3 linked regions of the Oryctolagus cuniculus genome follow. The protein of the gene in region 3 interacts with the protein of the main gene of each other region in a pairwise test. Links are inferred from orthologs where the notes say so. Each region holds a gene or a part of one and is shown on either strand. Other genes may lie near its edges.

Region 1 (8,045 bases), on a different chromosome or scaffold from region 3:
CGGTGCCGGCCAATCATTTACTTTTTAATAACAACAAATGAGAATCATTACAGTGGTGGGAAAATAGCTACACCCAACAGTAACTATCCTGGCTTCTATAATATTAATAGAATGTTGTTGAGCCCCCTGTTTATTATAGTACCATGTTCATCCCAGCCTGTACAGCAGAGTGCTCAAGAAAGGCTTTGTCATTGTCAGATATTTTGAATGAAGAGGTGGGAGCAAAAAGAATGAGTTTCTGATGTTCCATTTTCATGTTGTCTTTTTTTCTACTCACAGCAAGTTGAAGTAGACTGCCAACAGTGTATGCTCGAAATCCTGGACACAGCAGGGACGGTAAGGATGTTCTGTCTTTCTTTGATAGCTGTTAATTTGTGAACAGGTTTTTTCAGAATTGCTGAATAATTCCCAGTAAAAATAATAATTCTGATTATGAACAAATTTTGTGAATGTAGGTCATCTTAAATTCTGTGTGTATGAAATTCGCTGTGATGTATTCAGTGCCACATATTGAGTTCACCTGTAGAATCTGTGTTGGTTTCTTCTCTTCCTATTGGAGTAGAGAGTGTGATCATCAATGCTTTAGAATATAGTTATTTTACATCTAGAGTGTTAGTTAAGATAGGCACTTCTGTGAATGTCAGTCGTCTCTGTCTCCCTCCCTCAGCCCCCACCACCTGTAGTCCCCTGGTTTCTCAGAGAGGCCTGTGTCCCTGCAGCTTCTCAGATGCTCTGCCTGTTTCCCCTCAGGCATTTTCGCTTGCTGTTCCCTGTGCCTGGGAGGCTCTTCTCTGCACGCCACAGAGCTCTCTCCTTCGCCTCCTTCAGATCCTCCTCAGCTATTACCTGTGAGGCCTTCTCTGATCATGGTCTTCTAAACTATGACCTGATGTTCCCTCTTGCCAAAGAGACTCGTCTCCTCCTCCCATGCTTTATTTTTCCGTGTAGTATTTGTACAACCATCCTGCATATTTTTATACTTTGTTTTTGTTGCTATTCAGAGATTTTTACCTCTCTCGTTCACCATCCTTTCTCTAGTGCTACAGCAGTGTCTGGCACATACAGGGGCCTCTGGATATTTATTTAATGGATGAATCTCATAGAATGTCCTTAGGGTGAGGCCGGCACTATGGCAGAGAAGGTTAAGCCTCTGCCTGCAGTGCCGGCATCCTAACAAATGGGTGCTGGTTCAAGTCCCTGCTGCTCCACTTCCCATCCCGCTCCCTGCTAATGTACCTGGGAAAGGATCAGAGGATGGCCCAAGTGTCTGGGCCCCCATACCCACTTAGGGGACCCAGAAAAAGCTCCTGGCTCTTGACTTCAGCCTGGCCTAGCCCCAGCCCTTACAGCCATTTGGGGAATGAACCAGTGGATGGAAAATACCTCTGTGTCTCCCTCCTTCTTTCTTTGTATCGCTGCCTTTCAAATAAACAAATAAATATTTAATAAAAAAAAAATGTCCTTAAGGAAGAGGTGGGCATTCTCAGTAGGGGGTAACACCAACCATGTTGGTACCGTAAGGCCTTTTTTAAAATTGGATTTTCAGAACTAAGTTGCCTATATGTATTTATTCTTTTAAAAATAAATAACAGAAAATATTCTATCAAGAGTACATAGGAATATTGATGCTAGTATTTGTAACAATTCTATTTGTGTTTTATATATTTTGTCGTTTATTACGTATTTAAGTATTTAGATGATGGCACAATTTATTTAGTTACTGTAATGATGCTATCCTGGAACATAGTTTATAAATGAAAATTCCAGGAAACCCCCAGTTTTAATACCTTTCTCAGAAAATGCACTGCCAATAGCGTAGAATACTTAGCATAGTCCTTTGGCACACCTAAGACTCAGGATAACGAGTGGTAGTGTAGCAGACTTCCTGAAATCCACAGTGACTGCATCAGCCAGGGTAGAACAACTAACTATTTCAGATGTTGTATACAAAATAGAGGTAATGATGATGGGAAGCCAGAAAGCCAAGGCAGGAAACCCTTCAGAAACATTGTGGAGTAAGGCCTTCTTTTATATGCAGGACTCCCAAAGATGTGACGGTATAAAACATAGAGTTACAAATACCCAAAATATACTTGTATATGTTTTAAATATGTTACCATATTTGCTTTCTTAATGCTTTGTATAAAGTATCCAGTTTATGCAATTCTGTTTTATACTAATATTTATAATTATATAGTAGTGATAATTGCCAAATAAGAAGAAATAGACTTAAAACAGCACTCTAATTTGATGTGACTGTAGCTCCGGGACTAAATGTTAACAGTAGTGAATCTGACTGAAGGACATGGATAGTCCTTGCAGTGTTCTCACTTTCTCGAAGTTTTAAAACTGAGAATACATGAACACATTCTTACCAGAAGAATCGGTTTGCCAATAAGTGTTCGAGATTGCCTGTGCTGGATGATTAAGTCACAGTTGAGGACTGAGTTTATGCTTCCGATTGTTTTCACTTGGGCCGTGGTTATGTCATGAGCTTCCAAGCAAAATTAAGATATGTATATATAAAAAAAGAATTAGCTACAGTTCTTCTAAGTCACAGAAAGCAGATTAAGATGGAAATTCCTTTTAATCCTATAGTTTTGTTATCACTGTTTCTGTTCACCTTGGTAGGGAACAGGAACATTGACCTCAATTACTAGAAACTATGTATTCCATTTTGTGTTTCTGTCATAATAGCATGTGATTTAAAAGGGAAAAATAACTAGCTTACTTTTGATTATTCTGTTATATTCAAGAGCTTTATACTTTTATAATTACGCATGTTTTCTTATAGGAACAATTTACAGCAATGAGGGATTTGTATATGAAGAATGGCCAAGGGTTTGCACTGGTATATTCAATCACAGCTCAGTCCACGTTTAATGACTTACAGGACCTGAGGGAACAGATTTTACGGGTTAAAGACACAGAAGATGTAAGTATTTTTTTCTCTAAGAAACATAGTGCTATTTTTCTTCAGCGAAATAAAAATTTTTCTGTTTACTCTATCAGTAGGGGATTTGGAAGGTATCTTCCACATGCCAAAAGGTCCCTGAAGCAAACAAAATTCATAAAGCTTCCAGAATTAACTTGCAAATTATATGCTAAGGTGTTTGTAAAATGAGGAGATATATGATTAAGTGCTCATTATGCCATGTAGGTAAAACATACAATAAAGAAAGAAAAAGAGTATTTCACAGAGCACAGCAGGTTAAACCTCTGCCTGCAGTGCTGGCATCCCTTATGAGTGCTGGTTTGGGTCCCGGCTGCTCCACTTCCCATCCAGTTCCCTGCTACTGTGCCTGGGAAAACAGCAAAAGATGGCCCAAGTGCTTGGGATCTTGCCACCGACATAGGGAGACCTGGATAGAATTCCAGGCTCCTGACTTCAGCCTGGCCCAACCCCAGCCATTGTAGTCCTATCTGGGGAGTGAACCAGCAGATGGAGGATCTATCTATCTCTCTCTCTCTCTCTCTCTCTCTCTCTCTCTCTCTCTCTAACTCTGCCTTTCAAATAAATAAGCAAATCTTAATAAAAGTACTTTGAGTAAGAAGTGAGACTCCACTCTGCAGTCCTACGTGTAAAGGAGCCACCTTAATGTATTCTAGTAATTCACTGTGAATTACAACAAACCAGTGATGTCATTCAATTGTGTATTTGTCAAATCATTTACGTGACTTCAATAAAATGGTAAACTTGCTCACTGCAGAAAAAAAAAAAAAAGTAGGACTTGAGCTTTGGAAGCTGCTAGTTACGGCAGAAACAGTGGTCAGGCCAGCGCCGCAGCTCAATAGGCTAATCCTCCGCCTGTGGCGCTGGCACCCCGGGTTCTAGTCCCAGTTCGGGCGACAGATTCTGTCCCGGTTGCTCCTCTTCCAGTCCAGCCCTCTGCTGTGGCCCGGGAAGGCAGTGGAGGATGGCCCAAGTGCTTGGGCCCTGCACCTGCATGGGAGACCAAGAGAAGCACCTGGCTCCTGGCTTTGGATCAGCGCAGTGGCCATTTTGGGGGGTGAACCAATGGAAAAGGAAGACCTTTCTGTCTCTCTCACTGTCTAACTCTGCCTGTCAAAAAAAGAAACAGTGGTCAAAGAACACTGAACAGTATTAAGAGCCGTAATGGTATATTCTTTCTATTTCTATTCTATTGATAGAGTTTTTGCTTACATGCAGATTTTTCCCCTTGTAATTATGTGAAAGCATTTAATTAGCTGGATTTTTTTTTTTTTTCCAAATCAATAATCTTTTATTGCATTATTAAAATACCACAAGACACAATCTGGATTCTTGTTTCTGCAGCCGGATAACTTTTAGGTCTTATTCATCAGCCTGTTGAACTGTTCCTTTTTCAGAGACATAGATACCATCCAAAAATTTTCTGATATCTTTATTTTTAACTGTTGTTGCCTGCTGAATCAAAGCAGCTGAATTTGAAACAAGTTCAATGTCATTTCCTTCAAGCACTAATTCATCTTTCTGGGCTTGAGACACTGAACAGGCAACACCTGGCCTCATCCGAACCCTTCGGATGTACTTTTCACCCAAGAAATTTCTAATTTCAACAAGAGACCCATTCTCTTGAATAACCACGTTGATGGGGAAGTGAGCATACACTGACCTCATCTTGTATCGGAAGCCCAGTGTAACCCCCTTGATCATATTCTGTACGTGACTACAGATCGTGCGAACAGTTGCCAGTTCCTTTCTATTTCCCCACCATTTGTCAACCCGGAGCCTCTTCTTTTTCTTTCCCAGGAGACTGAGTTCCACATTGATGTGGTTGAAGTCCTTCCGCAGGGTTCCTCTGGGCCCCTTCACAATGACTGTGCGCCCCTTCAGACTGATGTCGACATTTTCTGGGATGTCGACCGTCTGATTGCTGAGAATGGTCTTCATTCTCGCAGTAGATGCGGCAAAGAGAGCAGCTGGATTTTTTAAAATTTAATTTTGCTTTGGAAATTTTGTCTAAATTAAAAATAACATTTTTGCCAAGATGAAATATATAATTCATGTTTACCTCAGTTTTGAACAGCAAAGAATTTTCTTTTCGGTTGTACAAATTAGGATATACAGTTTCAGCTGTTTTTGTGTCTTCTCTCCAATTATTAATGAGAGCATATACATATGCTCATGACCTTGACTTAGTAATATTGTTGGTGGAAGGGCTTTACACCATTGACTCATAACCAACTGTGACCTAATGAGTACTTTTCTTCCTTTCCATGACTAAGAAAGTTGTTTTCATAGGCAATTATTTGCAAGTCACTGAGCCCTAGTTATGTTAATCCCTCTATCCTGTATGATAAACTAAAAAAGATGGATTTGAAGATGTCTGATGGGTTTAGTCTAATTTGTGACAATTGCCCATTCCACCAGGTCTCTCCTAAATTCTTTCCTTTGTATAGTGTTCATCACCTTACAAACAAATGACTTTGTTTTCTTGACACCCTTTTACTAAGAAAGTTAATAAACTTTGTTTTGGCTGCCTATTTTACTGGAAATAGGAAGTCATAACTACATGTAGCTGAGCATCTGTGATACGGAGTAAAAAAGGAATACATAACTGCTTTCTGGCTTTATTTTTATTGTTCATCTTTTTTAACTCCTCAATTATAGACAGGTCTTCAAATCTACGTCTAGAATAGATGTTAAATGTAGATAGATATAGGACCTGTTTCTATGTTGGTCTTGGCATTGCTTGAGCGTTTGTTTTGTCTGTGAGATGAAGCACTTAAGTCAGGTCCAATGAACACATTCTCTGTATTGCAAGAAGTTTCTTTCCTTTTCAGAGTTTTCTACTTGGTATTCATCTATCACAAATAGTCAGCATGAGAATTTGGGGATTATATTCCTAAAATAATTTAGCATATGACTGCGATAGGATCTCTTCCATGTTTTTTGATATTTACCCTTTCCCCCCAACATACATATATATAATTACTACAATACAATATATATATATGCATACATACACACACAACACCTTTTTATGAGGGTACTTGGCAAACCTAATAATCCTAATAAATTTCAGTTAGTGGCAGATAATTGGTTATTTGTAAGAAGAGAGCAAGTAATAAGTATTTCATTGCTCATTTTATGTTTCTTCTTTCCCATAGGTTCCAATGATTTTGGTTGGCAATAAATGTGACCTGGAAGATGAGCGAGTAGTTGGCAAGGAACAGGGCCAGAATTTAGCAAGACAATGGTGTAACTGTGCCTTTTTAGAATCTTCTGCAAAGTCAAAGATCAATGTTAATGAGGTAACCTACAGCTGCTGGGCAGCACAAATAAGTGCCTTTTTATTTTCCTTGGCTTTAATTAACACCTAAAAATTTTTTAAGAAAACGTTTTGTTCTTCTAAGCAATTGTGTTTCTGTCACTTTGTACAAAACACTAATTATTTCTAGAAACCTTATTCTTAAACTTGCATAGGATCATTTTGATGGCTATAATGAGGACACTTCAATTTTTTTGTCAAGAAAGTTAAAGAATTTGTATAAAATCCTGATAAGCCTCTAAATGATTTGCCAGAAGGTGGTGTTTCAGAACTGTCATATCACCCTGTATTGTAGTAATTATCTGTCTAGATGCATGTAAATGGGTTCTAAAGTCAAGTAAAGAAACACAGCAAGCAAAGTAGTTTATTATAAGAAGTTTTTGTTGCACAAAATGATGTTGCTACCTTTGGAATCACAAGATTTGGTGTTCTGAATCTTGCCGTGCCTTTGGTGCGTGATGCAAAGAAAAGGAATTTGTGAGAGTGTGGACATGTAACTGGAATCCACTCAGACCATTAGAGCTGATAGAGCAGCTGCATAAACTCTGTGTGTGTCCGTGTGTCTGTGTGTATCCATCCGTCCCTGAGTTAAACACTCCACTATCTTGACAGCGTAGCTATAGACAGAAATGCTTAGCAAGTAAGCTGCACGTCTGGGTGTAAACGGCCTGTTTTCTGGGGTCCTAAAATTTAGTGCAGTTCTTAACTGCCCCCATCAATCAAGGGTCCTTTTCCTTTTGTTAACTTTACTGTGCACCTTGTTTAAAAACAAAACAGACTGGGTTTTTTCTTTCCTTTTCTGTTGCCTGTGTGCTTGTCATTTGTGGCATCATTAGAATGGGCCAGAGTTCATATTATTTAGGGCACAGGTGAGAGAAGAGCAGATTTGGTTATCAGAGTTCTGTGATTTTCTTGCTGTCCTCTCTGATCTGTGATTTTGTAGATCCCTTTTCCTTCATTGATAATTGTAGACTATTACCTGACTTTTAAAATGGCCAGGTTACCTTAGGTGCCTGATAGAAAACACTTAAACATGCTAGATACAAATCATATGTTTTACAAAACCATTTTTAAAAACTACATAAAAATAAGAAATTAACAGATTTAACTTCTTCAGGAAATACTTACTGAGTACATACTATGCATATGGTACTGTATTAGACACCCAGGTAACAGGTGATATTCATCCGGACAGATACGCCCCTGCCCCCAGGAGGTTTACATCCTAATAGGGAGAACGAGACCTGCCACTGCCAAGCAGATGAAAGGAAATACGGAATATGCTTCCACCTCCATTTTCTCTTTTGTAGGATTACAGTTTGCTACAGCTTATTTTGAAAGATGTGGTTAATAATAAAGTTTTAATTTTTAATATTTTTTTTTAAATTTTAACTTTATTAAAGAATGCATTGAGATTGGTAGAACGTGCTTGGGTTTTGGAGCAGTCGTGTGAGGACACGCTACAGGATGATTGGCTGCAGGAATCGGTTCCTTACTAGGTTGATGCAGGCTCTGCACCTGGGACCTCTCCCTTGGTAGGCAGAACACCACGGAGAGGAACTTTTCCTCACCTTGTAGTGTCCCGTGTTTGTAGAAGCCTGCATGCCACTAACCCTCCTCTGAATTGCAATTGCCAATACAGCACAGCTGTTTTTTCATAGCAGTCTTGTTAAAGTTGACCTTTGACATGACGAGTTTTTATGAAAATAGATGGAAAATAATAAAATGAAATATATTAACCATCTTAAGAATCTTTACTGTTTTAGAAAA
Region 2 (8,045 bases), on a different chromosome or scaffold from region 3:
ACAAGTGGAATAAAAAGAAATAGTGTGTCTGTGTTTATAACTTTATGTCCGTTATCAACCCTGAGGCCTAATCAGGGGCTTCACATTGTACTACCTCCTTTCCCTCTTTGGGGGGCCCATTTCGGCAGTGTGAACGTCAGTGTCCTTAGGGGAAAATTTAAGTTTTCATTTTAAGATTCCATTGAGGTTACCTCCTTTCTTTACTCGGATGTCTTCCTCTTTTAATAGAGGCCTTTCAAAATTTGCAGCTGCAAGAGTTGTGCCTTTAGAATTACAGTAGCTATCATATTAGATATTGTGCCCATATTTTTCAGAAGTAGAAATATTGAATGTTACTAATCTTCTCAGGTAAAGAAGGTATGTGACAATTACTTGTGAATTGATTTTTGTGTGTGTGTGTCATCTGAATCATCTTTGAGTATTAGATTTTATAAAACTGTCCCATTTTTGTAGTAATTATTTTTATAGATAATTTTTTGTTACTAATGTATGCACTTGAATTGTTGAATCTCTTGGGAAAGAGGCTAATCTTTTTTAAAAACCTCTGTGATAAAATACAGATAACAGAATTTAACATTGTAGCCATTTTTCCTGTGTAGTTCAGTGGCATGAAATGCATTCACAGTGTGTACAACCATCACAGAGCTGTGTAACCACTAATACTATTTTCAGAACTTTTTTCATCATCCCAAACTGAACCTCTAGCTGTTAAATATTGACTCCTAGTCCTCGCTCCCTCATCCTCCGTAACCTCTCTCCTATTTCTGTCTCTGTGACAGCTTCTAGGTACCCCACATAAGGGGAATCATGTGATTGTACTTTTGTGTCTGGCTTATTTTACTTAACATGTTTTCAAGGCCTGTCTAGTTGTAGCACTTAGCAAAGTTTAATTTTTTATGACTGAATATATTCGATTGTATGTGCATATTATCATTCGTGTATTCCTTTATCTGTTAATAGACACGAGTTGTTTCTGGGGTTGCTGTATATGATGCTGTGAACAGCGGTGTACATGTATCTCTTTGAGTCGTGTTTCACTTTTGATTATACACACAGGAATGGAGTTGGTAGATTGTATAGTAATTCACTGTTTAGTTTTTTGAGGAACTGCCATACTTTTGCCCAGGAAAACAGCATTTTGGATTCCCACCAATAACAAAAGCATTCCGGTTTCTCCATATCGTTGTCCAAACCTCTGAATTTGTCTTTGTTTTCTTACAAGTTTTTAAAAATTTTCCTGATAATTGATAGTGTTGAGCGGCTGCGCATTTCTCTCTCTTCTTCAGAGAAGAGCCCTTCTCAAGCCCTTAGCCCGTTTTTTGAATTGGGATGCGGTTTTTTTTTTTGTCTTTTTGTCTTTTTGTCTTTTTGGTTGTTATAACACCTTTTCACAAGTAAAAGCTGCACCATAATAATCCAGACTGTGTTTCTCCCTTCTCAGGATTCCTACAGGAAACAAGTAGTAATTGATGGAGAAACCTGTCTCTTGGATATTCTCGACACAGCAGGTCAAGAGGAGTACAGTGCAATGAGGGACCAGTACATGAGAACTGGGGAGGGCTTTCTTTGTGTGTTTGCCATAAATAATACTAAATCATTTGAAGATATTCACCATTATAGGTGGGTTTAAATTGAATGTAATAAATTAGCATTCAGGAGTAATTATAGCTTTCATGTATTGAGTATTTCTTACCACAGTGTATATATTATATAATACAAATTTTAAAATATTTTTGAGCATCAAATTCCTATTTTACATAAAATGAAGTTCTTGCGCATTAAAACAGTTGAGTAACTTGTTCTGGGTTCCATAGATAGTGTTGGTGCTGGGACTGAAACCTAACCTATACGTGTCTGGCTTTAAAATATTCTGTCCTCCTCACCTCCCTACAGTAGAGAAACTGGACTTTAAAAGTCTTAGATACATGAAAATATGAAAAAGCAATTTGAGGTGGTCTTCAGAATAATGTATATTCAGTGTAGAACTTCTTGGATTGGATAAACGATGGCCTTATGTATTTAAAATTATACTTATGTAAAAATAAAAAGCATTAGAGCAATAATAGGTTTTTAAAAAATTTTAAGAACTTTGCATAAACTACTTTAAAATTATTACTGTATTAAATATTCTGTTTCTGAAGATTTACCATTTTTTTAAAGCTATTAAAACAAATACTCCACTTACTAGCTATATCATGTAGCTGTAAGTTAGCCACTTTAGAGGTTTAACCTTTTAAGATCATTTCTGGTAGCATGTTTACCCTATAGTCTAGTATTAAAGAAAAAAGTTTAGGCGATGGGTGGTAGTGGTATTTATTTTATAGAGTAGTAAACAAGTGAAATTTGTTAACTGACCTGGCTTTACTCAGCTAATCCATAGGCAGGGGAAGTAGGAATTTCAGTCAACCCTGCTGTGTTATCTCCTGTGCTCCTTCTTCCATGCCACTTCTTGAAAAATCACCTGAAATTGTGAAGGAATATAATTTTACCCCAAATGTAGAGTTTATGCATATTGCATATTGAAAATTAGCTACATAAGAAAGATTTAACAGAGTAAGCAGTGTTGTCCACATAAAAACTAAAATCTTTCTGCTTTTTCACTTTTCCTTATTGAGAAAGTAATGTGAAAATTATGTTAATGCTATAATTCATGTTTTTGTAAAAATATTTTCAGTTCTATACTTAAACTTTGAACCACATACATGTTTCTAAGATTATTGCTATTGAAATTAGGCATAACACTTTAAGTCTAGAAGTTTTCAGTATTTTATCTTTGCGATCTACCTGCATATTAATTTCTAGGCAGTTAATCTTTAAGTAATATATAAGGTCTCTGTATAAGGTGGAGGGAAACAATAACCAGAAGGAGAAGCAAGGGAGATTGGTATGGTTGAAGCTAGGAATTTCCTTAAAAGTCTTCTTTTATCCAAAATGTGTAAGACAGAAGTTGTGGACAATTTTGGAAATATTTTTGCCTTACTAATGCTCTGCTATAACTTTATTTCTTCCCCAGAGAACAAATTAAAAGAGTTAAAGACTCTGAAGATGTACCTATGGTCCTAGTAGGAAATAAATGTGATTTGCCTTCTAGAACAGTAGACACAAAACAAGCTCAGGACTTAGCAAGAAGTTATGGAATTCCTTTTATTGAAACATCTGCAAAGACAAGACAGGTAAGTAAAGCTGGAATCAATACAAATCCATTTTCTGCAAAATATTTCAATCATGAATCATACTTTACTAATAGATATTTTAGCATCATTTTAATGGTAGGAGAAGGAAATTAATGTGTTCATATGTGATAACATTACTATTCTGTCATTGATGTGATTTTCAGTTTTTCTCTCAGTGTGTTAAAATAGCATATAGAACGGTACCTTCTCTTGAGCAGACAGTGCTTCTTAATGCAGTGTTATGGTAGTACTTTCCGCTTTGATTTCTTTCCACAGTGAAATTTCCCTTGCTCTGAGCACATCTTACATTCAAGAAATGTGCGATTTCACGTTACATAAAGACAAAGAACAGGGGAACAGATTTTGAGTTTGTGCTTTTAAGAGTATCATGTCATGTGTTTCTAGATTGAATTTTGTTATATTTGAAGAAATTTTACTTTGGCATTTTTTTTCTCATTAAAGAGTATTTTGAAAGTGAATAGAAATTCCATTATTCATTTAGTGCATTGTTCTGGCAAAAATTAATCCCAGTTAGAACCTAAATTTTGTTAAAGAAATCATCATTTAAAAAAAATATTTTATTTATTTGCAAGGCAGAGTTAGAGAGAGAGATCTGCCATCCACTTGTTTACTAACCAAATGGCTGCAATGGCCAGTGCTAGGCCAGGCTGAAACTAGGACTTCATCCTGGTCTCCCATGTGGGTGTAGAAGCTCAGGGACTTGAGCCATCTTCCCACTGCTTCCCCAGACACATTAGCAAGGGAGCTGGATCAGAAGTGGAGCAGCTGGGACTCAAATCGGTGTCTAAATGGGATGCTAGTGTTGTAGGCAGCGGCTTTTAAACCGTTATGCCACAATGCTGGTTCCAGTCATCTTCATTTTAAAAAAACTTTTTCTCTAGGTAAAATAAAATAATTTTAGCTAATACTATCTACCCTGTTTGTATGAAATAAGAGTTTAACATTTAAAAGGAAAATTCTGGAAAGGAACACAAAGATGTGATAGAATACAATTTTCATGCATAGACTGTAAGAACTTGTACAATATATGCTCCATACATTTTTTTTGGAGTTTTTTCTGGTTATGCGTACCTGTGAGCCCACAAAGATGGTTTTGTAGAATTTAACTCTTGTGTTGCTAGGAATTTAAAAAATTGATAAACAACTCATTACATAGTTAAACTCAGAAAAGCAGGCATTCTAGATGTTTGTTGAATTTTGTAAAGGGATAAAAACATAAGTGTAAATTATTCAGCTGTTATTTATGAGTTACTTCTCCAGTGAGATCATAAGTAGCTCCTCCTGGTTTGGTACACTATTTGGGTGTTTGTTTTGGAATTAAAAACTGAATTTTTGCAGTTTTTCCATCATATACATATTTCTTCTATGGCAGATAAATTATTTAAGTAAAGACTTGGTATATTTCACTTCAGAGTAATTAGGATTTCATTCAAATTCCTTCCCAAGTTCCAAATTTTAGGGTGGTTTGTTTTTTTTTTTGTTTTGTTTTGTTTTGTTTTGTTTTGTTTTGTTTTTGGTCTTTCTCTAGTCTTTCTTACTAGTCTCAATTTTCTTCAGCAAAGAAGGTACTCAGAAAACATGATTATAATATTTATAGCTTTTTCTTCCAGTCCTTTTTTTGGTTTTGTTTTTAGTTTATTTATTTGAAAGGGAGCATTAGAGAGAGAACAGGCAGGGCAGGGGAGAGAGATCTTCTGCCTGCTGGTTTGCTCCCCAAGTGGCTACACTGGCTGAGGCTGAGCTACAGGCAGACCAAAGCTAGAAGCCTGGAACCCCATCTGGGTCTCCCACATGGGTTGGCAGGGGCCCAAGCAGTTGGGCCATCTTTAGCTGCTTTTCCAGCTGCATTCACAGGGAACTGGATGGGAAGTGGAGCAGCTGGGACTTGAACTGATGCTCATATGGGATGGTGGTGTCACAAGTTAGCAGCCTAACCAACTGCACCGTGACGTCAGCCCTCCGATATTTTTTTTATGAAAAAATTTCGGATTTAAAAAATTGAAAAGAATTTTTATTGAAAACATTAGCAAGCCATCTATACTGTTATTAATATTTTATTGTAGTTGTATTATTCATAGATTTTAAAAATTTCTTTTTAGTCTTTTGAACATTTTTGTTAGCATTTCACATAAAAAAGGTAAACAGTAGAGAAGTGCTAGTACATTACAGTGCGTGCAGATCAAAGGGCTTATTAAGATCTCAATTCTAAATCAATGGGCTTAGGTTGGATCCTGTGAGTCTGCATGTCCAGCAAACCCCAGGTGATGCTGGTTTTGGTCCATGGACCACAGTTTTAAGTAGAAAGGTAGTTAGATGATACTAAAAGGACTCTTCCTTGTTAGTACCACAGTGTAGCTCTTCACTCCTTTCCCTGTTGATTGATGGCTGCCGCAGAAGCACCAGGTAGCTGATTCTTGGTGTTTTGGTGTTTTGTTATTAATGCTGTAATGTTTGAAGCATTCAGCTATTCATAACTACTCAGAAAACTACCCTGGCTTGCTTGCCCTTTTTTTTTTTTTTTTTTTTTTTTTTTTTTTTTTTTTAACGATTTATTAGTTTATTTGAAATGCAGAGTTAGAGGCAGAGAGAGAGAGAGAGGTCTTCCATCCACTGGTTCACTCTGCAAATGGCTGCAGTGACTGGAGCTGGGCTGGTCTGAAGCCAGGAGCCAAGAGCTTTTTTTGAGTCCCCCATGTGGGTGCAGAGGCCCAAGCACTGGGCCATCCTCTACTGCTTTCCCAGGCCACAACAGAATGCTGGATCAGAAGTTCAGCAGCCAGGATGGCAGGCGGAGGCTTTACCTGCTACGGCACGGTGCTGGCCCCTACCCTGGCTTTCTTTTAAAATATATTTTTAGTTTTAGGCTGTTTTGAGGCCTTGATTTCTTTGTTGTTTTTTTTAAAGGAGTATGATATAGAAGTGGATTAAGTGAAGTTTGCTTTGTAGACATTAATGTGGACCATAATTAAAATGTAGAATGAAATAATATGAAAGAATATTTCTCTTTCTTAACCTAATGTCTAGCATATCTTAGATTTATATCCTACTTTATTGATGTATTTATGAAATTTATGTTGCTAAACCATAATGACATTTGATTTCTGTTGAGTTCTTTTTATTAAGTGAACTGATTGATTTGCTTTGAAATAAGGTAGCCTTTAATCAGTTCATGCATCTTCCTCTGTTGAAATGAATTTAATATTTGCATGTGTTACAAGATTTTTAAAGAGCTGTTTCAAGTAATTATAGATAGTAAACTTGCATATGTAAATTTTAATGAGTTTTATATATTAGGTTTTGTGAAACTTTGAAGCTCTAGCCTTGGCAGAATATTTTGTTATTTCTGCAGCATATTTTGTTACTCGGTTGTTGTTCAATAAATTTATTTGTTATTTGAACAAAATAACTTCATAAGTATCCTTGTATTTTATCAGCAGCTAGTTTTGTGCCCTAATTTTTGATTTTTTTGATCATGAGCCTAAAACACAAACACCAAAAAGAAGCATACAGGTTAGTAGGGAAAGAACATTAATTTAGTTACAAGTCAGGGACTGGCAAGCATGTTCTGTAAAGGGCTAGATAATAAATATTTAAAATTTTCAGTCACAAGTGTTCCTTGTTGTATATTAGTTGTTTTTTTTTAGACTCCTTTGAAAATGGAAAAATCATTGTTAGCTTGTACATAGCACGGAAATCAACTGCGGCCCCGTTTGGCCTATGAGTTGGCAGCTGCTGAGCCCTGACTGACTTTCACCTTAGGTCTTACAAAAGATCTTCTATCGGGCCGGCATCGTGGCTCACTTGGTTAATCCTCCACCTGCGGTGCTGGCATCCCATATGGGCACTGGGTTCTAGTCCCGGTTGCCCCTCTTCCAGTCCAGCTCTCTGCTGTGGCCCGGGAGGGCAGTGGAGGATGGCCCAAGTGTTTGGGCGCCTGCACCCGCATGGGAGACCAGGAAGAAGCTCCTGGCTCCTGGCTTCAGATTGGCATAGCTCTGGCCGTAGTGGCCATTGCGGGGGGCGGGGGGGGGGGGTGAATCAGTGCAGGGAAGAAGACCTTTCTCTGTCTCTCCCTCAATGTCTAACTCTATCTGTCAAGTAATTAAAAAAAAAAAAAAGGGGGGGGGGGTCTTCTATCTTCTGATTCCCTTCCTAAATGGCAGCAACAGCCAGGAGCCAGAAACTTCATCCAGGTCTCTGACATGGGTACAGGGGCCCAAGCACTTGTTTGCCACCAGCCCGGATTTCAGAGTATATTTTTGCCAGCTTAGTTACTTTGTAATAATAAAAAGGCCATTGACTGGCCAGAATATAATACATTATATATTTTTTATATTCAGTTTAGTCCGTATTTGAAAAGCAAAAGGAGTTATTTTCTACTACTACATAATATGTGGTCCCCACGTTCCTAGTACATAAGGGCTGATACCTACTTCACATTTATCTGGGAAAGAGGTGTTTGACGGATTTTTCTGGTTCCTTTGAGTTGTGTATAGCAGGATCAGCAAAGGCTGTTTAAACTGAAACATTGACACAATAGGATCAGTGTGTGTTTCAGTCTGTAAAAATCAAAAGTGGGAAGAGTTCAGTGCATAGATGGCAGAAGCAGTACTTTAGTCTGCTACTCCTGTTTCCGCTGTTTTGCTTTCTGGAGGACTCAATTTGAACATTGGAACAACTAGTTTTATGAACCTAAAGATACTGAGTGATTAATTTCCTATTTTGTTGTTAATTTCAAGATACTTAATTTTAGTTGTTAGAAGATCTCCATTAAAGAAAACATCTCAGCCGGCGCCGTGGCTCACTAGGCTAATCCTCCACCTGCAGCGCTGGCACACTGGGTTTTAGTCC
Region 3 (8,145 bases):
GAAGCCCTCCCTGCTCCTCCGTGTGGCCCCGGGGCTGTCCTTGAGCTCGCAAACCCCGTGACGTCCACACTTCCTCGTCGGGGAATGGTGCGCCCCGGTTAGGCGCTGGTTTGGGGGCAGTGGTGACCGGGGACGTGGGAGTCAGACCCTTGAGCCTCAGATGGGGGACAGAGCGCCCAGCCCGGCGACAGGGACCCAGCAACACCACATGGTTCTGTGCTGTGTGTCTTTAACACACCGCAGAGCAGAGTGCCTGGGGCCAGACAGGCTGGGCCGCGCCTGACCTTGGCCCTGACACTCTGTGGGCCTCCGGGTCATGACCTTGGCCTCATGGTCTGCCCGATGCGCTATGGGAAAGTGCATTGCCACCCGAGGATGCTCAAGATGGCCACTGCAGGCTCTCGGGGACACGGGGACGTCAGGACCACTCTGCCTCTCAGGCGTAGACAGGCGTGGGCTGTAGTGCCCGGCCTGGGAGTCTCACAGCCAGAGCTGAATGGGGAAGGGTCCCGGGCCTGGAAGCCCCCAGGGCGTGGCTGTGTGAGACTGGATGATGGGCCTTGGTTCCCGGGCGGCCTGGGTCAGAGGTCGGCGGGCTGCAGGGAAGTGGGCCGGGCCGCGGGTTCCCGGGCAGGATGTTGTGCTAAGAGAGCAGTGAGCAGAGGAGTCACCACTCTGGCTCTGAGTCACAGCACCTAGCTACAGCACCCCAGTGTTTATAAACAATGGGCCAGGGCCCGTGAGAGGCCCCCGCCCAGCCACCCGCAGCCCGGGGAGCCGTGCGGAGCAGGGGCGCGTGGCAGGCTGTGTGACCTGGGTGTCCCGGGCTGCTCTGAGCGTCACACACAGTGGGTGCACAGCTCTGGGCCGCGGGGGAGGCGGCGCAGGCGGGGCTCCCCTAGCTGTCCTGGAGCCCAGCCCCCGGCGCCCTGGCTCTGCCCGTTCCAGGCGGTGACAGCGATGTGGTGCATCGTGTGGCGACTCCAGGCCGGCCGGGAACAAAGGCCCGGCTTTCCCCAGAGCTGGGGGGCGGGGCGGGCAGGGCGGGCAGCCCGGACCACGTGGGCCGCAGGCGGGGTGGGTGCTCCCGCCTCTCCCTTCCCGCGGCCCCGCCTCCTCTGGGCTCCCCAGCCTTCCCACCCCCTCAGTGCCTGACTACGAGGTAGGAGCCCGGATTAGGCCCGGCAGGAGGTCGGGAGTGGGGGCAGCCGTGCTTGGGAAGCTGGGTAGGAGGGGACGTGGGACAGCACGGGGTGATGCTGGGAGGTGCCAGCCCCGCACACACACCGACCACCTGCTTCCCTGCACTGCTCTGTGCTGTAAGCAGAGCCCCAGCCAGCCCCGCCCGTGGCCACCCCTGCGTACCGCCCCCACCCCCGCCCGCGGCCGCCCCTGCGTAACAGCACAAGTCACGCGTGAGAGATCCCCTCTGCCTCGGGGGTCCCCACAGCGCCCGCACCACGTGACCCAGCGGTTGGCCACGCAGGGTGACAGACTGGGGACAGCGTGGGCACCCCAGGACGGTCTCCCTCCTCGGATCCCCGCTGACGCCAGGGCCTGCCTCACTGGGCCCCCCCTGTCTGGACAGGGCCTCCGTCCCTTCCCAACCCAACACCCAGCCGGGGCCGGGCTGGGAGCCCCGTCTGCAGGGCGGGGAGTGGACCAGAACCCGGGCCCCCCGGTGCCCTGCACCCCCTTCCTCTGTTTGCTTTTGCAACATCTCTCCCACGATTCGGTTACAAGGCCGTGCCGTGAGCGCTGGGCAGACCCCTGACTGCCGTCCGGGGCTTGATGCCTGGTGTGGGGTCAGCTGTGTGGGCTCCACTCATTTGCCAAGCACCAGTGGGGACAAGCTGGGATGGGGGTGGGGGAGGGACAGCCCTTGGCTGCACCAGCGCTTGTCTGCTGAGTGTAGCTGTGAGCCGGGCTCATGCTGAGTCCTTGCTAGATCTGCCAGTGCCCTCGTGCCCATTTTACAGGCGAGCAAACTGAGGCTTAGAGGTGCTGTCACTGGGTTCCAGAGGACGTGGCTCCTTGGTAGCCACTGTTTCCCAGAGGTTAGGATTGAGTGGCAGCCTATGCAGGAGGCCAGAGATGGCTTCTGACCCCCAGTGGACAGGGCCCTCAGAGCCGGGCGTGGAGTGGGCAGTGCTGCTGCGTTAATGAGCGTGACGTGCTCCCAGGCCGGGGACGCTCATGCAGGAGTCCGAGGTGGCGGCCGCAGCAGCAGGAAGGCCAGGGTCAAGGCTGCAGTGGCTAGGAGGAGCCCGGGGGCCAGTGGGGACCTAGCTTCCCGTCCGGCGGGATTGGGGTCGGGGGAGGCGCCTCCGCCAGGCCCACCTTCCGTCCCAGAGACTCCTCACCTCCTGGGTGTCTCCGAAAAATTTCTCCTGCAGGAGGCCGCTGGTACGAGTTCAAGGTCGCGAGCTCTGGGGGAGTCGAGGGGAGCCGTTAGGAGGGCAAGAGTGGATTTGAGTTTGAAGACCCCTGTGTGATCCTCCGTCCCCCACCCCTTCCGTGACAGGTCAGGAAATGGAGGCCCGGGGAGGCAGTGCCCAGTGGGGACAGGAGCCTGGCTGCTTTAGGCTCTGAGTCTCCTGTTCAGCCAGGTCCCCTGCACCCCACAGAGCCCCCGAGGGGGATGTGAGGTTGTCGGTCAGAGGGGGCGGCGGGGACTACTGGGGTGGGGGCTGCGGAGCCCCTGCCTCCGGGGATGCGTGTGCCCAGCCCAGCGCCCTCCGGTCACCGTCCAGCCTGGACTTCGCCCTGAGACTGCTGGGCTTTGGGCTCGGGCCTCTGAACACCACGGAGGGGGGTGTAGGCTTTGTCAGTTGCTGGCCCGGCGCGGGGCCTGGAGTCCCCCCACCCCCAGAGATCCTGGGCAGCACCCCGTGCTCTCCAGGACACGGTCTTGGTGGCTTTGTACTCATTTATTTTTAAGGTTTCTTTATTTTCATTTTATTAGAGATAGAGACTTGCTGTCCACTTGTTGGTTCACTCCCCAAATGCCCACAACATCCAGGGCTGGGCCAGGCTAAAGCCGGGAGCCTGGAGCTCCATCCGGGTCTCTGACGTGGGTGACAGGCCCCAAGCACTTGTGCCATCTGCTGCCTCCCAGGGCGTTAGCAGGAAGTAGAGCAGCTGGGACGTGAACCAGGCACTGCCGTGCGGGTGCCCCTGTCCCAGGCTGCACACAGTGAGACCTCGGGCCTGTTTTTCCTTATTCCCTGTGTCCAATGAGCACGTTGGCCTGGCTGAACGGCTTCCTAAGTCTGGCATGCAGCAGAATGGGAAACCTGGGGACAAGCCAGCACCTTGGTGTTGTTTCTAAAACAGATTTATTTGAAGGTCAGAGTTAGAGGGGGACAGACAGACAGGTAGGGAGAGCGTCCATCTGCTGGTTCGCTCCGCAGATGGCCACACAGCCAGGACCGAGCCAGGAGCTTCGTCTGGGTCCCCACGTGGGCGGATGAAAGGGTGATAATGGGGCTGGTATTTTATTTATTTATTTATTTATTTTTGCTACCCTACTCGGTGAGATGAACTGTTGGTGACCCCAGCTTGACCCTCTACCGGGCCGTCAGGGCTGGGGCACTCTGAGGTCCGCCTGGCTGGAAAGGCTGCCAGAGTGGGCGGTGGAACCCCTACCCCTGCCCAGGCCCCTGGGTGTGCCCCTGCACCTGCTCAGCTCTGGCCAGGGCTACAGGGCTGGGGCCTGGGGGTCAGAGGGGACGGCTGGCCCCTCCCAGCTAGGAACAGCTCCAGCCAGAGCCCCCCACGACAGCTGGGGCGAGCACCTAGCCGTTTGGCAGGCCGATGGCCTCACACAGGCGGGAATTCCTGGCCCTGCCCGTCACGGGGGCAGGTATGACAGCCACGCTGGTGACAGCAGGCCCAGGCACTCCGGCGCTCAACTCCATCAGAGCAGGCAGGCAACGGCACACAGGCCAGGGCCTTGGGAGCCCACTCTCCCATCGGGCTCCTGCCCCACCATGGCCCGGGAAGCAGACCAGGCCTGCCCGGGGCCCGCCGTGCCCAGGGGGAGGAAGAGCTCCGTGTTCCTGGCCTGCGTCTCCGTGGTGACTGCCCGGCGTCGCGCCCTGGCCCGCCAGGCGGCCCCCCGAGGCCCACCCCCCTGGCCAGCCCCTCTGCCTGCGCAGGCCGCCGAGGTAAGTTCCCAGGGCAGCCGTGCCTCCGCGGGGGAGCCTGGGCACGTTTCTTCCCGGGCGTCCCGCCTCCCTCCTTGTCAGAACTCGTCGAAGGAGTTTGGCTGGAAAACGTTGGGGAATCTCCGTCTCCCGTCCCAGGCGTGAGTGAGGAGGCTGAGGCCGCCGTGCCGGGGCTGCCACAGGCGCCCACTCTGGCTGGCCTCTCCGCCCACCCCGGCCCCGGTGAGTTGGGGCAGGGGAGTTGGGGCTGTGAGCGTCTGTGCGTGCCGTGTGTCTCGGATTTCCGAGGCCTCGGGTGCCTTCTTTCGTCCTCTGTTCTGAGCCTGGTTTTACTGTCATTGTCCCCATTGACTGCTGGGGTCGCCGAGGCGCAGGGTGGTGAGCCTGGGAAAGACAGTGGAGGCTGGGACTTGAATTCCAGTGGCCACCGGGGGCACCCCAGGACCCTCTGCTCTGGCTGTTTGCCGTAATTTTTAAAAATTTTAATTCTTTTATGGTTTTAGTATTTATTTTGATAAGAGTGACAGAGGGAGAGCTTCCCTCCCTCTGCTGGTCCATTCCCCAAATGCCAACCACGGCCAGGGCAGGGCCAGGCCAAAGCCAGGAGCCTGGACTCCCTCCAGGTCTCCCTTGTGGGTGGCAGGGGCCACAAGCCGTCGCCTGCTGCCTCCCAGGGTGCGCGTTAGCTGGACTGAAACAGAGGAGGGACGCAGTCCCAGGCCTCGCAAGCAGCAGCCCGGCCGCTGTGCCGCGAGGCTGGTGCCCTCACCCTTGCCGAGGGTTTCAGAGGGGCACGGCTGGCAGCTGGCTGCCCACCCACCAGGAGAAAGGAGCCAGCGGGCGGCGATGCTGGACCCCGGGCGTCTCGCAGGCGAGGCGGCGTCTCCCACCCAGCGCCGTGCCGGGCCGCCCGTTTCTCCCTGGGTCTCTCCGAGGCCTCCCAGTCTCACCTCTGCCGTCCTCTGCCTTCAGGGCTCAATTTCCAAGCTCCCGTGGGTCCCCCAGGCTGGCGCGCTTGTGGAATGGGTGGTCCTGGGGTGTCGGGCAGTCGTGAGAGCGGCCCCAGTTCCCTGTGTGCGGCCCCGGAGCCCTTGTCCATGTGGCCGCAGGCCTTGGTGCACCTTGTCCTGATGCCCTGGGACAGGAAGTTTAGGGTCAGGATGAGGTCACTTCCCTCCGCTCACTGTGGCCTCCCAGAGGCCTTCACGCCTCATGTCCCCCTCCTGCCCTGCTCTGATTTCTTGGCATCAGCAGTGGTGCGGGGGGAGGCACGGGGCAGGCGGGGCTGTGCCAGGCCCTCTCTCCAGCGCAGGAGCCCGGCGGCCAGCCCAGGTGTGTCACTGCCCGCTGAGCCGTGTGCTCATCAGCCCACAGGGGGCCACCCCAGGGCTCAGGCGGGCCAGGAATGGTGACAGCTGTGCCGGGAAATGGCCCAGGGGCGTGGACAGGCCACGCCCTCAAGGTGGCCTCCCCAGGCTCTGAATATAGAGCACAACAGAGTGACCACCGGGGAGAGGCCTGACCCTGACCCACATCTGCCCACCCAGCTGCTGGTCCAGCTTGGAGGGGGCAATGGCCGAGGGCTGTGGCCGCTCAGATGTTGTCTTGTGCCGGTTCCCACTCTGAGCTGCATCGGCGCCTGGGCCCAGACCCCATCCCTGGGACCCGGCCCAACGGCAGGCCTGGGTCCTGACTTGGACATGGGCGGAGCCGCACTGTGAACAGTGTCTCGCGCCCCCTGACAGAGTCGGGTGGGGGATGGGCCACGTGGCCAGCTTGTGAACCAGACCCGGAGAGCCGAAGGCCGGAGGCTCCGGGCGGGTCTGTGGGTGCCGGGCTGGACGTGGGACAGGGGCCACCCGAGCAGCTGATCTGAGGCCTGAGGACAGTTGGGGAGCCAGGAGGAGGCTCTGAGGAGGCGCGAGCACTCCGGCTGCCGTGCATCTGGGGGACCAGTGATGGCAGGGGGTCAGGGAGAGAAGGGGCCTTGGGGATCTGGCCTGAGGTCACCTTTCCCCAAGCCGGAGGTGGGGGGGGGGTTGCCTGTGACTAATCGACCCATAGGTACCCGCCCCGACCCCAGGCGACCCATAGGTACCCCCCCGACCCCAGGCGACAGGGCGCTCCGGCAGCTTCCGCCCGGCCTCTCGCTGTCCCATGCGGGAATGCAGACCGTGTGCGGTCAGGGCGGCAGCATTTCCAGAAGCGGAAACGTGGATTTTCATATTAAAGTCACCTGACCTTTCCCTGCTGGCTCAGACATTTAAAAACACCTCACCGGCCAAAGAAAACACGCGTGTGGGCCGGGCGGGCCTGGTTCTGGGCTCTGGTTGTGTCTTTCACAGGCCATCTGCCAGCAGACTCCGACCGGCCGTGCTGGCCCTGGAGGAAGGGGTGGGGGGTGGAGATGCGCTCCCCGGGGCAGGTCGGGGGCCCGGAGGAGGGGGAGCAGGGCTCCTCTGCCCCTCCCCTCCTTTTTTTTTTTTTTTTTTTTTTTGACAGGCTGAGTGGACAGTGAGAGAGAGACAGAGAGAAAGGTCTTCCTTTGCCGTTGGTTCACCCTCCAATGGCCGCCGCGGCCGGCGCGCTGCGACCGGCGCACCGCGCTGATCCGAAGGAAGGAGCCAGGTGCTTCTCCTGGTCTCCCATGGGGTGCAGGGCACAAGCACTTGGGCCATCCTCCACTGCACTCCCGGGCCACAGCAGAGAGCTGGCCTGGAAGAGGGGCAACCGGGACAGAATCCGGCGCCCCGACCGGGACTAGAACCCGGTGTGCCGGCGCTGCAAGGCAGAGGATTAGCCTAGTGAGCCGCGGCGCCGGCCTCCTCTGCCCCTCCTAGCACCAGGGTTCCCCTCGGCCTTGATCTTCAGACTCCCCAAGGTCACAGCAGCCCGCGGCCTCCAACTGCCCCTGCGGCTGGGGGTCCCCAGCCCCTCGTGGTAGGGATGCCACGCGTGACCCCTTCTCATGGAGCGAGGAACGCGGGAAGCGGCCAACCTGGGCCCTCCCTTGACGGCTGCTGGAGACTGAGGGAGGGGCACTGAGTCTCAAAAGCCACGCCCTCTTCTTTGATGGACATTTCTCCTGTGGATAATTGCAGACAGACACAAAAGGAGGAAAAACGGCAGTAAGGGCCCCCAGCTTCACGGCCGTCATCGGCACAGAGCCGCTCTCTGCCCCAGGACCCGCCTTTCCCCTGTGTGCAGGAATCCCAAGGACGTCCCACCCACTGATAGCCCCGTGGGCAACTCTAACAGTACCCAGAATGCCAGTGCTGGGCCTCAGACAGCGCTAACGTCCTCGCCCACCCAGTACCCTGCACACACAGGGGTCCTCTCGTGGCTCCCCCTCCACTTTCTCGGTCACCCTGGTCCAAAAACACGGTGCGGAAAATTCCAGAAATAAGCAATTCTTGGGTTTTAAATTGTGCACCTGCCCGAGCAGCCCGATGACGTCACGCGCTGTCCAGCCCTGTACCCCAGGACAGGGCTCATCTCCTCCTCCCGCGTCTTGGTTATCCGATGGACTGCCCACGGTGCTTGTGTGCAGGGTTCGGCATCCCACGGGGGTCTCGGGCCGGATGCCCCACAGATCGCCTCCATCTTTCCCCTTGGGCTGTCTGTGGGGGTCCCACAGTCTGGAGTCTGCGATTCCCCGAGGCTCGTTCCGAGCACGGCCCAGGCTGGATGTGGCTTTGTTTTCCGGTGCACGCACTTGGCGAACAGCAGCCACAGGGGGCACATGCAGGCCTGGTCCCTCTCTTTGGGGCTGGCCTCGCCCCTGGTAAGGGTCTGCCCGCAGCCCACGGGGAGGATGAGGAGGGAGGACTGGTGGTGAGACCCCAGGGGAGGCGCAGCCTGGTTGCTGCCTGTGTCCGGGTCACGCCCCTTCTGGAGGTCGGGGGCTTCCCTAGGCTGACTCATTCACGTCCCCTGTACAAGGAGAGACCCCTGCCACGCAGGTGAGGTGGCGTGA

The links.
Region 1: the proteins of RALGDS (region 3) and RAP1A interact in a two-hybrid assay, tested with the Homo sapiens proteins (3 studies listed by BioGRID and IntAct). The link is inferred for Oryctolagus cuniculus from reciprocal best matches to the Homo sapiens genes RALGDS and RAP1A.
Region 2: the proteins of RALGDS (region 3) and KRAS interact in a two-hybrid assay, tested with the Homo sapiens proteins (3 studies listed by BioGRID and IntAct). The link is inferred for Oryctolagus cuniculus from reciprocal best matches to the Homo sapiens genes RALGDS and KRAS.

The regions. Positions count from the first base shown.
Region 1 is NC_091438.1:58,669,412-58,677,456, reverse strand, and holds part of RAP1A (ras-related protein Rap-1A), read left to right. Parts: intron 1-279; coding exon 280-336; intron 337-2,794; coding exon 2,795-2,935; intron 2,936-4,214; exon of another isoform or gene 4,215-4,315; coding exon of another isoform or gene 4,316-4,894; exon of another isoform or gene 4,895-6,114; coding exon 6,115-6,258; exon of another isoform or gene 6,259-8,045. Other genes in the region: large ribosomal subunit protein uL6-like, read right to left, coding at 4,316-4,894. UniProt on the Homo sapiens protein: Counteracts the mitogenic function of Ras, at least partly because it can interact with Ras GAPs and RAF in a competitive manner. Together with ITGB1BP1, regulates KRIT1 localization to microtubules and membranes.
Region 2 is NC_091440.1:122,523,533-122,531,577, reverse strand, and holds part of KRAS (GTPase KRas), read left to right. Parts: intron 1-1,441; coding exon 1,442-1,620; intron 1,621-3,013; coding exon 3,014-3,173; intron 3,174-8,045. UniProt on the Homo sapiens protein: Ras proteins bind GDP/GTP and possess intrinsic GTPase activity. Plays an important role in the regulation of cell proliferation.
Region 3 is NC_091432.1:235,230,431-235,238,575, reverse strand, and holds the start of RALGDS (ral guanine nucleotide dissociation stimulator), read left to right. Parts: upstream 1-3,965; 5' UTR 3,966-3,992; coding exon 3,993-4,169; intron 4,170-8,145. UniProt on the Homo sapiens protein: Functions as a guanine nucleotide exchange factor (GEF) activating either RalA or RalB GTPases and plays an important role in intracellular transport. Interacts and acts as an effector molecule for R-Ras, H-Ras, K-Ras, and Rap.